2 linked regions of the Arabidopsis thaliana genome follow. The protein of the gene in region 1 interacts with the protein of each later gene in a pairwise test. Each region holds a gene or a part of one and is shown on either strand. Other genes may lie near its edges.

Region 1 (5,994 bases):
TCGAAAACATTATAACCGACCACCTGTATAACTTTCCGTCGATGTCCCCCGTATGTACAAAACTTAACAGGTCACCTTATCCGTGTACGTGGCCGGATCTCATTGCGTTTGTTAGATTTCTGTGATGACGTGGTGTTTTCCTTTACACTAGGAAACTTCAATTTGGCATTGGAATGTAACATATGGCTAAAGTAACTTTATCTGCTTAACATATTTTTCAAATATCTAAAACTATTTCTAGACCGAATTTTAGATATGTGACTAAGAAGATTTCTTGATTTACATCAACCAAAACAAGAGCACCATGTGCTGTTTCTTATATGGATATAACAGTTCGAAATAAGTTATCGTCTTCATACATCCCTAGAACCCCAACGACTGGACTAAAACCCTCAACTTCTAAAATAAGACTTATTGTAGAATAATACCAAATTGTGAAAAAAAAAACAAATATAAATTATTGACTATAGTTTGAAGTAAGTCGTAATTTTTTCCGCAAGGTAAATTCATTCAAAGTTAAAATGTGGAGAGTGAGAGAAAGAGAGTCGCGTGGCTATTGGGTAATGAGAAACGATTGGACCCATTTGGTATCATTCGGAAGTGATATGTGGCAGAGGGCAATCATACGTTTTCGTCATAGCGTTAGATTTTCTTACAGTTTCTTAGAGATTATTTCGATTGTTTGTGTCAAACGAGTTTAGTATGTTACTGCTATTGAACAGTAGTATTTTCTCATGTATCGATATGAATACGTTTACTCTTTTTCTTTTTTTCACACAATCAGATGAATATAGGGATGAATATACGTAGTTTTGTCTTTGTCATATACTAGATTATATTCCCACCAGTCATTTTCCTATGTATTTAACAAGACAAGACGTAGAAAAATGAGAATTTTAGTACTTGAGTTAACATATTTAAAGATTATATTCCCATCAGTCATTGAACATATGTGTACATATATATACGAGGAGAATCTATAACTTAGTAAGGAGGGAAATATGAGATTTTATTTCTATAGAGAAAAGAAAGGATAAAACCTCTCTCTGCCAACACTGGCCACCGTCTCCAAAGTCCATCCCAGTTAATTTTTATTTTTTGGAATCTTCTTATGTTATTACTCTTTCTTTTCTTATGACAACATGTCAACATGTGACCTGTCGTCTTCTACTTTCTTTTCTTCAGCTTTTCTCCTTTTAAGCAGAATATTCAATCTATCTTCAAATTCATATCTGAGTTTTGTACTATAAAAGAAAAGCAGACATTAAAAAAGATTTGAATATAAAACAAATGTATTGGAGTGGTAAAGCACATCTTCATCAAACATTTTTAAGGAGCATCAATCTAATTGGTCGATGGAAATGGAAGTAAAGGAATAGAAGATTGTTTGTGTTCCATGATGATGTATATATATGCCTAATTAATGTTACTGTTAGTTACCTTTGGATAACAAAGATATTTAAAGCGGTTTAATGCTTATTAACGGTTGATGGATGTTACCTTTTCTTTTTGACATCACGGTAGATGTTACCTTTCATAGGTGTTGAATAGACAGATTGGGGACGTTAATTAGTAATGATGTAATTAGTTAGAGCTAAATAGTGCTAATAAATATATGTAAGAAATTGTTCGGAAAGTAACTAAAAAAAGTTCAATTCATGCAAGTAGACACTTCAAATGTGATAAATGTATAAGTATGATGTTAAGCATGTGACCCTTGAGAGTCGATTAGGGCACTGTACAAGATTGACCCAAATAGTTACAAACTACAAGTGAACTCTCTTCCATTACATATCTACGTGTATTGAGGGGACCATTATCGTACGTATACACGTATATATGTTTTGCCCTAAATTCCCAATTTTAATTCAGCATGGGGGACGGACTCATTCAATAGCATCGTCTTTCACTTTCCTTCTTCGGTTTAAAATCTCATTTTAGTTTCTGATCCAAAAAAAAATGTTTGATCAAAGATCAAAAACTTAGATAGAAACAAACTGTTTTTTTTTCTTAAATCAAGAAAGTCTAAAAAACTAAGATACAAAAAGGGACTCGCAGCGGCAGAGAGATAAGTATCTTACGGGCCAGCAGATAATTTCTATGTTACGTCCCTTTCATCCCCATTGCATATTGCATATGAAGACAACGGATATTAACTAAAATCTTCCAAAATTACGGTATAATGAATAATAATACACTTCTGTCTCATATAGTATTCTATTATATTGTTCGAAAATGTTCTTATTTACATATCTATTTATATTGTTAATTGATTGCGGCTATTACTGTGGATATTCATCGTAACTATTTTAATCAATACAAATCATGCAAAATAGTGAATGACTTAGAAAAGTTGAAACCACATATGATTGAGTTTAGGGGGAAAAGTATAAAAGAAAGCATGACTAGTATGTTACTATGTAGTAAGCTTCAAACATATATTTAAGAAAATACTATATATAGATACATATGATATAACATAACATTAAAATATATGGTGAAACATTTTTTCTTAATATCCTAAGCTTCAAACATATACCCAAGTAGAGAAGAGTTGGAGTATTCATTCTTTGGTTAAACATAGACCTAATACATAGCTCATATGGACAATTTTTCGACAAAACAAAAATGATAGCAAATGGGCTAAAATGGTTTCATATCGAAAAGCCCAAACCATTAAGCCAAAACGACGTCGTACGATATGACAGCGGCGATTCCTATAACCACCACCAGAGGTTAAAAAGTCTCTCTCTTTAGCTATCTTTTTTGTGTTACCGGTTCAAATGGCCGCCGTCGCAGATTCCGTTGAGAACAACGGTTCCATAAACCTCCCTGAGAATGAAAACCTTATACCGGCGGGATTCAGTGCCGCCGCATTGCTTGACGAAAACTCTGGCGCTTTCCCTGAATTGAATCAGCCCGATAGCTTAGCTGCTGCTGAGACTACCTTCCCCGATACGAACGATTCCGCGGAGGAGAGGTGGCCAGGTTGGCCTGGTGATTGCGTGTTTCGTATGATCGTTCCGGTGACTAAAGTCGGAGCTATTATTGGACGCAAAGGTGACTTTATAAAGAAGATGTGTGAGGAGACTCGTGCTCGTATCAAAGTCCTTGATGGTCCTGTTAATACTCCCGATCGCATCGTTAGTATCTCTATCTCCTTCTACGTGATTTACTGTGTTCAAAGCTAATTCGAATTTGGGGATTTTTAATTTCTATTTCTAGGGTTTCTTAATCATAAGTAGGAAGATTCTTGAGTTGTGATCATTAAAGTTGTGAACTTTTATCCCCTAGTTGTGCAATTTGATTACTTTATGGTTCCAATTATAGTTTGAAGTGTTCACTAAGTTAATTACTTGCTCAATGTTATGTTTTAGGTGTTAATATCTGGTAAGGAAGAACCAGAGGCCTACATGTCACCGGCAATGGACGCAGTGTTGAGGGTGTTTAGACGTGTTTCAGGGTTGCCTGATAATGATGATGATGATGTTCAAAACGCTGGAAGTGTCTTCTCTTCAGTGCGTTTATTAGTTGCTTCAACGCAGGCGATTAATTTGATTGGAAAACAAGGATCTTTGATTAAGTCTATAGTAGAGAACTCTGGTGCATCAGTTCGTATTTTATCAGAAGGTATTATCTATCATCTGCAGTTTTCTGTTTTTACCTAATTGATCTCTTTGTTTGTGATTGTTAAAGTTTAGTTTTTGCTATTTCAATTCATGTCTGTTTTTTTTTCTAAAATTGGTGTCTTTGTTGCCAGTTTCTTATTTCTCTACTTTTTTCTGCCAGAGGAAACACCGTTTTATGCTGCACAGGATGAGAGGATAGTGGATTTGCAAGGGGAAGCTTTAAAGATTCTTAAAGCATTAGAAGCCATTGTTGGACACCTTAGGAGATTTTTAGTTGACCATACTGTTGTCCCTCTCTTCGAGAAGCAAGTAAGCTTGCTTGTTTCAATCGAGATTATTCCTTTCCCTTTTTTTTCTTTTCTGAATTATTGTTATCTTTTCTTATCTTCAGTATCTAGCTAGGGTCTCTCAAACTCGCCAGGAAGAACCGTTAGCTGAAAGCAAGTCATCTCTGCATACTATTTCGTCAAATCTAATGGAGCCTGATTTCTCCCTCTTAGCACGGAGGGAACCTTTGTTTCTGGAGCGCGATTCTCGGGTGGACTCACGTGTTCAGCCTTCGGGAGTTTCTATCTACAGTCAGGATCCTGTACTGTCTGCCAGACACTCCCCAGGTCTTGCTCGGGTTTCTTCTGCTTTTGTGACACAGGTAGATTCCCTTAAATACAACATCAGCTCCTGAAAACGAGTTTAGCGATATCATCTTACTTGTTATGATTAGTCTTCCAGCAGTGATTTTGATCTTAACACATCTAACTTGTTTCTCTGAACTAGTAGTGACGTTTCTATAATGGATTCTCTTACTAGGTATCTCAAACGATGCAAATACCATTCTCCTATGCAGAGGATATTATTGGTGTAGAAGGAGCTAATATAGCCTATATCCGTCGAAGAAGCGGAGCTACCATAACCATTAAAGAGAGTCCGCATCCTGATCAAATCACAGTGGAAATCAAAGGCACAACTTCTCAAGTACAAACTGCTGAGCAACTAATTCAAGTAAGAACACATTCGATCTGTATATATATATATATACTTTCTGCGACGTGGCATTGTATAAACACTAAGATTATGCTTGCTTTGCATCCTACCCCGCCTGCTTCATCATAACCGTATTCTTTTGTTTACGTGTGTGTAGGAGTTCATCATCAATCACAAGGAACCAGTTTCGGTATCAGGGGGATATGCCAGAATCGACTCTGGATATGTACCTGCATATCCTCCTCAGCTAAGTAACCGTCAAGAGCCGCTCCCGAGCACCTACATGGGCACAGAGCCGGTGCAGTACAGACCAACAGCATACTCTCAGCTGGGGGGTCCTTCTACCTACACACCGACCCTGACTGGGCAAACTTATGGTTCGGAATATAGACCAGCTTCTGATGTTGGTGGCTACAGCAGTTATAATCTTTGAATTGGTTGCTGTGTTTAAGTTTATTTGCAGATTAATTTCTCTTTAGAGAAAGGCTCATTTATAATATAATAGAGAGGGAAAAGGAACAAGTTCTAGAGAGCCAATGTAGTTGTTGGAATGTGTAATGTAAATCTAGGTGCCCTTTTTTTTTTTTTTTTTCATACCTCGATATATGTCACACTACGTTTCTGGTCAAATAAGAACATGTTTTTTCTTTCTTTTTTGTATGAATTTGTTTATCAGAAGTCAGAATGATTCAGTTTTAAGAAATTTTTAGTTAACGTTTTACAACAATAACCTGTAGGAGCTTTTTCTTAATTGAATAAGTTTAAGCTTTCTATTTTGATCTGATGATGCTAATATGAAAGCATTCTCCGAAGAACCAAACCACATGAGACTTTTTGATTTCAATGTCCATTCGTAACTAGTAACGGAAAAGATCAGACAGAAAAAATGTACCAATCATTCCATATTTGTAGTTTTACATGATATAGTAATATTCTCTAGGTGTTTAAGTTGTATATTTCATGATTTTTACACATTTTAAAACCTGATTAAGGCCTGTTTTTAACTTTTTATTTCTTCAAACCGTAAGAAACAATCCTTGCAAGAAACAATCCTTGCTTCTTCTTCTTTTTTTCGTCAAGAAACAATCCTTGCTATATTTTCATTTTTACAGCTTCTTGTTTTTAAGAGAGCAAATATAATAAATAAGGACGGCTGAAAAGAGGTATATGTATCACAAAATTAAACAAAAGAGAATCCACCTATCGACATAGACGTGGTATCCTTTCGATATCGACAGAATTATGTTGAACGCAGCAAGTTGGCCATTAATCAAATCTTTGACGCGTGGAATCATTCTATTGTCAATGAAAACAAATATTAAAGAACAGGTACTACCTATATACCTAATAGATTCCTCTAACCCGTCAAATGTCAATGTATCGA
Region 2 (6,789 bases), on another chromosome or scaffold:
ACGCTTGGGCAGTGTTAAAAAACCGGAAAGTCCCGGACCCATTACCTTGTGGAGATAACTGTGGAGTCAGCATAAACTGGCACCTAGCTACAGACTATCGAGGCGGATGGACTGCTCGAGTCACACTCTTCAACTGGGGTGATACTGATTTCGTGGATTGGTTTACCGCGGTTGAACTGAGAAATGCTGCACCCGGTTTTCAGAAAGCGTACTCGTTTAACGGAAGTATCATCGCGGTCAACGGGAAGAACACAACTGTTTTAATGGAAGGGCTCCCTGGACTGAACTATCTCCTTGCAGAGAAAGACGGAAAAAACCCGAGTGAAGACTTTCGGATACCCGGGAAACAGCAGTCGGTTATCTCCTTCACCAAGAAACTGACTCCTGGAATCAAAGTTGGTTCCAAAGATGGGTTTCCCACCAAAGTACTCTTCAACGGCCAGGAATGTTCACTCCCTTCTGTACTACCCACGAGCAACAGTCACAGGAAACATGTATCCACCTTTCTTCTCATCCTGACACCATTTTTGGCTCTACTGTTTCTTCGGATTTAAAAGTTCCAGTGAAGGACTTTCCTCATTAGCCAGAAAATATACAGTTTTCTTGATTCTTTCTAACCAGATTTGATGCAGAATTACTTCTACTACTAGTGGTGCTTTGTGCACCGTGTGATTCTTGAATTTCGTATGATCAGATTTTAGTAATCAGTATGTATACATACAAATATTGAACAGACAAATCCCTTTGTGTTTTGATCTTGAATTGCTTTGATTTCACGTTGTGGCGTTGTACTAAATTAAGTTTGTTCGAATTATTCTAAGCATTTACTCGAAATACATACTTACAAAACCCTAAACAGCCTCACTACATAAATGAGGAACAAAAGAATCTCCAAGGATATTAACCCCTAACATGAATAATTATTTCTTATATAATCTGCCATTTAAAATTTCATGCAGACTACATATATATCAAACAAGTTTTAGTAGATCGTCGTGTAAAAATGATACAGTACAGATCCGGGTAGTCCCTCCGGTTTATCGGTTTTTTTATCCAATCAAACCGGAATGTTATCGATGGAGTATGCGTCAAAGTCGAATTCGCCATCAACCGGTGCAATCCCTTCCTGTATATCAATAATTCAAGATTGTGTTTTTCAACTTTTTTGGTTCACTGATTTTTTTTGTTATTTAGTTGTAATTTGCATTATTATGAAAAAGACATGCGACCAATGGTGAGAAAGCGTCTGAGAGTTGTTATATATTTGATTTTGAACGCAAACATGTACGTTGACGGATCAGATTATGCTTCTATATAAGTTTGACAAAAAAAAAAAAATCAAATCAAACCTGCTTAAGAAGTGCGCTCATAAGATCTTCTTGATTACTATACTGCTCGTGAAACGCCATTGTTGCTGTATCCGTAGCCACTCTCTCTGATTTCACCCTCACTGAACCACCGTTTCCGTCTGCATAAACCTGATGGTGCTGTACCATTCCCGATGGTGGCTGCTGGTGGTTTCGGCCATGCTCGGTGGCTGCAACTGTCGTGTTGTGTCTTGACATGGACGAAGAAGAGTAGGCTTCTGAAGCGGAAAACGCAGCGGATTCTGAGTCCTGATGTGAGTCAAAGGCTATTCCAATATTCCTCAGATCCCAATCATTCTGTCTGGTGGTGAACATGTCGTAGCTCGGCGTAGTGAAACCCGCTTCGGAGCTGTTAACCTCTTCCTGGTAAGAAGTGGCTTTCCGAACCGGTACTGATATCCCTGGTGCACTTGCCAGCGGGAAACTGTTCACGGGAAGTTCTGGTTGGAAGTTGTTATAAGGCATCGAGCTTGATGAGTGTTGTGTTGTGAGATTAGTGTAACTTGTCGGTAACACTCTGCTGCTCTCGGGGATATTGTTCCTTCCAGAGAAACCACTTCTCTCGGAAATGCGGTTTGATAACATCGGCTGCCTGATGGATGATTGCGAAGAGGTTAGCATAGGCGGTGGTCCCCGAGGCAAAGACTGCTGACCCGCTAGAGGCATCAGCATTCCGTTGTTTTGAACACTATTTCCAGCTCGAACAGCAGCAATCTGTTGTTGAATACTCATTCGATTACCCATAGGAAGCTGCTGTTGTAAACCCGTGGGGACACCGTGAAGTAAGTTCATCTGTGGTTGCTGTTGGGGTTGTTGCCCGTGATGCCCAAGCCCTTCTCCAAATCTTGTTTTCGTGTTGTCAAAGCTGAAGATGCTTCTCTCATCCACAATGGAGGAAACCGGCAAACCTGACTTAGAGACCATCGCAGGCCGGCCTAAACCAGCGGCTTGAAGCTGTGCAAGACTCTGTGCAGGTAACTGACCTGTGACGGCTAGTGCTTGAAGATCAAACCCATTCAATGTCGAAAGAGGTCCGAAGCTCGCATCCTGACCCGTCATAAACGAGTTGTTAAGATTGCCTTGGTGCTGCGATACCCCTCCAAGCCGTCTTAGATATATCCGGTATTTCTGCAAGTCCACATAAAGCCGCTAAGAACATCTAAGCATTTCAATGGCTCATTTTGGTATCCAGTATAAGATTTATACCTGGAGGTGACTTGCTACGTTTTCTCGGGTTAGACCAGGAACATTCATCAGCTCTAAGATCTTTTTAGGAACCGCCTCTGCGCCATAGAAGATCATTTAGACCCTGAGCATAACAATCACAAATGCAAATGTAAGAAGTTTTAGTCTTACTCTCAACGCCGAGCTGATTAACAGCAGCAACAAACTGCTGATGCAATTCAACAGACCAGACGACACGCGGTTTCTTCAAATTCGACGCATCTTCGTCCTTATCATCTCCTTGCTCTTCTCCTTCCTCGTCTTTCCTCTTCCGTGAACTGCTCCTCCAATTGTTACCTTCGTTAACCGAGGATGAGTTATCATCCACCGCATCCTCTCCACCAGAAACAGCTGCACCACCACCACCTCCTCTATGTTGCTGCTGCTGTCTCTCGCCAGTCTCCTCAATGCTCCCAGAATGTTCCGGTACACTCCATTCACTTCTCCTCTTCCTAACTACATGCTGCCATATGTTCTTAAGTGCCTCCATACGTACAGGCTTGATAAGGTAATCAACCGCACCGTGCGTTACTCCCTTTAGAACCACACTCTTTGAATCATCCGCAGACATCACTAGTTAAACGAATACAAGATCAATAATCTATAAAAAAAGATTCAAACTTAGATGAGATTTGAGGGAGTAAAAAGAACGTTACTGATAACAGGTAAGTCCATCTCTAGACCAACATGCTCAAGAAGCTTGAAACCGTCCATGTCAGGCATATGAACATCACTGATTACTATATCGAATCCATGTTTGTTCTTCCGGAGCAGAGACAATGCCATCTCTGCTCTGTTGCATTTCGTTACTGCATGTCATAACAACCAAAATGTTTCATATCTTCAAAGATAAAAGAAAAAAACAGAGATTTGAATTCTGACAACAAGGACCTCATGAATTGACATTTAACCAAAACTCAAGTCAAAGATCAAAGACTCAAGATTTGAATCCATTTGAAACCTCCCCTAACTTATTATATACAATGGATCTACATGTGAATCTATCAGTAGATCAAAATGGTGTGATCTAAATGAAGAAGCTCGAGATTAATATGTGAATCTTAAAAAGTAACCAAAATGGTTTCTATTAAAGGGGGAGCAAAGTTAGTCAACCACCGATATGAAAACCATAATTATTCCTCAAAATAACATAATTTTCGAGAATGGACCACAAATAAACCCATCATTGGAGCAAGAGACCATGAACTCTCTTTCTCTCTCTCTCTCTCTCTCTCTCGTGAGATTAAACGAACAAAAAAAAAAAAAAAAAAATGAAAAGAGAAGATCTTGGTTTTTGGATACGAACCTTCGTAAAGACAAGTCCTAAGCATCCTCTCTAAGATCATGAGACAAGTTGGGTCATCGTCAACGACAAGAACTCGAAGACCAGAAGGAAACATCTCGACGACGGTCTCACCACCACCTCCTTGATTTCTACCGGAGCTGGACCCACCAGCCGATCCGAGTCCTCTTCCGTGACTCGGATTCATCATACCTCTCTCTATGTAGCTCGAACCCAAGAAACAAAAAAAGAAAAGCAGAAAAGAATATATACCCAGAAAGAAAGAGGGGAAATTGACGCGAGTTTTATTCGATTTAAAATTGAATATTATGAGAGAATACGAAATTGTTGGAGATAGAAGTGAATCTCTTCTGGGTAACCAAAAAAAAGAAGAAGAGAGAGATGGTGAGATGAGACTTAGGGAGTTGAAGAAGACAAGGCTTGTCTCACCTTAGAGCTCTTTTTCTCTGTTTTTTTATTTATTCACAGAGTAAAGCTCTCTTAATTTTTCCTATTCAATTTTTGTAACATTTAGATGCAGAAGAAAAAAAAAATGTGGTTTTTATATACTCAGTCATATATATTTTTTATTTACATATATGTAGAAGCTGACATGTCCTTTATTTTCATCATTCTCTCTACATTTAGACTATTGGTTTTATTAAATTTCATTTAGATCCACTCTCTTTTTTATTCTCAATTTCTTACAAGTTAGTTTTGTATATTATATGTACTATTGTTCTATATTCTGTTTTATTTTTCTATTTAGAAGAACATTTTGGATGTTGCTTTGAGCTCAAATTCTGGGTTATTTTGTGAAGTAGTGAAATATAGGGGTTGAATCATCAATGAAAGAAATATAGGGTAAGGAAATTTATATAATTGGGAAGAAAGTGGGACCAAAGACCCTTGATTCGTGGATCCAGCTCATGCATGAAAAAATTAATTAACTCGTCATATGTAAAGTTTGCAAACTCAAACCTTAATAGATTTTCATTAGTATTATTGTTGTTAGTTTCCTAATTTTTTGTTTTAATTTCCATTTTCTACCAATTTCGAATAGGAATTTGCCTTAAACAAAAGAGCAGCTGCATATATATATAAAAAATTCTTAGTTTTGATATGCCTATAATTTATTTACTAAACTACCCTTTGAATTTATGTAATTGAGAAACAATGCCTCCTGTCTATTGGACCTACATGTATTAAATTAAACGGCAAAATAAAAATATAATCATATCATTAAATTAAACAAAATAATACGTCTACGCACATTCAAGCATATGATTAAGGTACCAAAATACACCTAAGCATTTCCCATCATCACCTACATCTTTAGCTAAGATATAGTACATATACTTTTATCAACAAAAAAAAACCAGATATATGATGTATACATAACATAAGATTACTCGATGCCTTTTTTGGTGCAAATTAAACATATAACCTTCCAAATTTTTTAGTATGTATTTATTTCAAGTCGTGTGTAACTATGATTAGTAAGAATATAACTTATATAGTATACTTTTCATGTTTTAATCAAAAACAACTTGTAGTTCTAGGAAATAAATTGTATTAAATGGAAAATAGAAAAAAATTGTACGTTTGATTGTTGAAAACATATATATATATATATATATATATATATATGTATGTATAATTACAAGTTTACAACAACAGTAGTCAGTATATGGTGCAAAAAAAAACATGTGCGCTTCTTCTCTTAAAACGTTGGATACTAAATAAACAAAGAAATAATGCAAATGGTTCATCTGAATGATTAGTAACATCATATGCTACCCACCAATCGCCCTATTCCCCCGAAAGTATATTTTTAATAATGTATAGGATAACAAATCATATTTGACTATTCGATTGCTCTACGACATATTTATAAACACATACAAACCAGTAACTTATTTATAAATGTGTAAATTTGTCAACTTCAATGTAAACTATATCTAAGTTATCCAAGTTCAGTGTATACTTTGCTTAAATAGTTGTTTAGCACCGCCGACATGTCTTATCTTTTTCAAATTAACGATAGTTTTAAGTGTGACATACGACTTGTTTCATATGTGCATCGATACCTAATTTCTTACATTAATCAATGTTATCAAGTAAAATTCACTACTTGTAGTATTTAGAAGGAAAACTCAACAATACGAATATTAAATCAATTAAGTATTTCTTTAATTTTTATGAACTATCAACTATAGTGTATTTTCTTTTGGAAATACTGTACATGTGTATATTTCGAAGAATAAAATGAAAACATTTAATGATAAGAAAAAAACAAATAAATCACGTTGCTGAGAAGCTTTCCCTATTGCGACACGTGTCCACATGAAATGGATAAGATCACTCGAACCATTTGCATCGACCTCTCCATCTATCGTTGTCTTCATTTGTTAAATTTTCCCTATTTCAACAATCATTTTAAAAACATTAATAGAAATAAAAAAAACGAAACTATTCAACATTCCAACTTGTAATTGTTATCGTCAATAGCCACTTATTACCACGAGAGCTTGAATTTGAGTTTAAGAAAGATATACTCATAATTTCATGTTTAGTAGCTTTTTTTTCTAATAGCTTTCTTTACTTTTCCTTACATACGATATAAAACGTAAAAACAAAAAATTGATGATTAATATAACATAAATTTAACTGCGCCAAAAGCTATAATATAGAGAAGGTCCCAAGAAAGTAACCCGCTGAAACCGTATATTCTCTGTAAAAAGTTTTTACTCTTACGATGAGCTTTTTGAGTTTTTAATTTATATTTTTCACTTTATTGTGCTTAGACAGACATGAATTACAGATCCTCCTATTTTATTTATATTTCAAGTACCAACTATAGGTCCATGTCACCAAAAAAGGTTTTGTAGAACACAAATGTTTCAGCTTTTTATG

What was found. The genes of interacting proteins can lie anywhere in the genome.
Region 2: the proteins of PEP (region 1) and RR1 interact in a two-hybrid assay, tested with the Arabidopsis thaliana proteins (one large-scale study listed by BioGRID).

The regions. Positions count from the first base shown.
Region 1 is NC_003075.7:13,194,497-13,200,490, forward strand, and holds PEP (RNA-binding KH domain-containing protein), read left to right. Parts: upstream 1-2,572; 5' UTR 2,573-2,783; coding exon 2,784-3,143; intron 3,144-3,377; coding exon 3,378-3,630; intron 3,631-3,789; coding exon 3,790-3,938; intron 3,939-4,020; coding exon 4,021-4,278; intron 4,279-4,436; coding exon 4,437-4,628; intron 4,629-4,767; coding exon 4,768-5,043; 3' UTR 5,044-5,345; downstream 5,346-5,994. UniProt on the Arabidopsis thaliana protein: Regulates vegetative and gynoecium development. In concert with HUA2, antagonizes FLK by positively regulating FLC probably at transcriptional and post-transcriptional levels, and thus acts as a negative regulator of flowering.
Region 2 is NC_003074.8:5,753,408-5,760,196, reverse strand, and holds RR1 (response regulator 1), read right to left. Parts: upstream 4,377-6,789; 5' UTR 4,085-4,376; coding exon 3,898-4,084; intron 3,842-3,897; exon of another isoform or gene 3,483-3,841; intron 3,401-3,482; coding exon 3,248-3,400; intron 3,165-3,247; coding exon 2,724-3,164; intron 2,651-2,723; coding exon 2,574-2,650; intron 2,496-2,573; coding exon 1,350-2,495; coding exon of another isoform or gene 1,344-1,349; exon of another isoform or gene 1,127-1,343; coding exon 1,058-1,126; 3' UTR 754-1,057; downstream 1-753. Other genes in the region: COBL8 (COBRA-like protein 8 precursor), read left to right, coding at 1-554.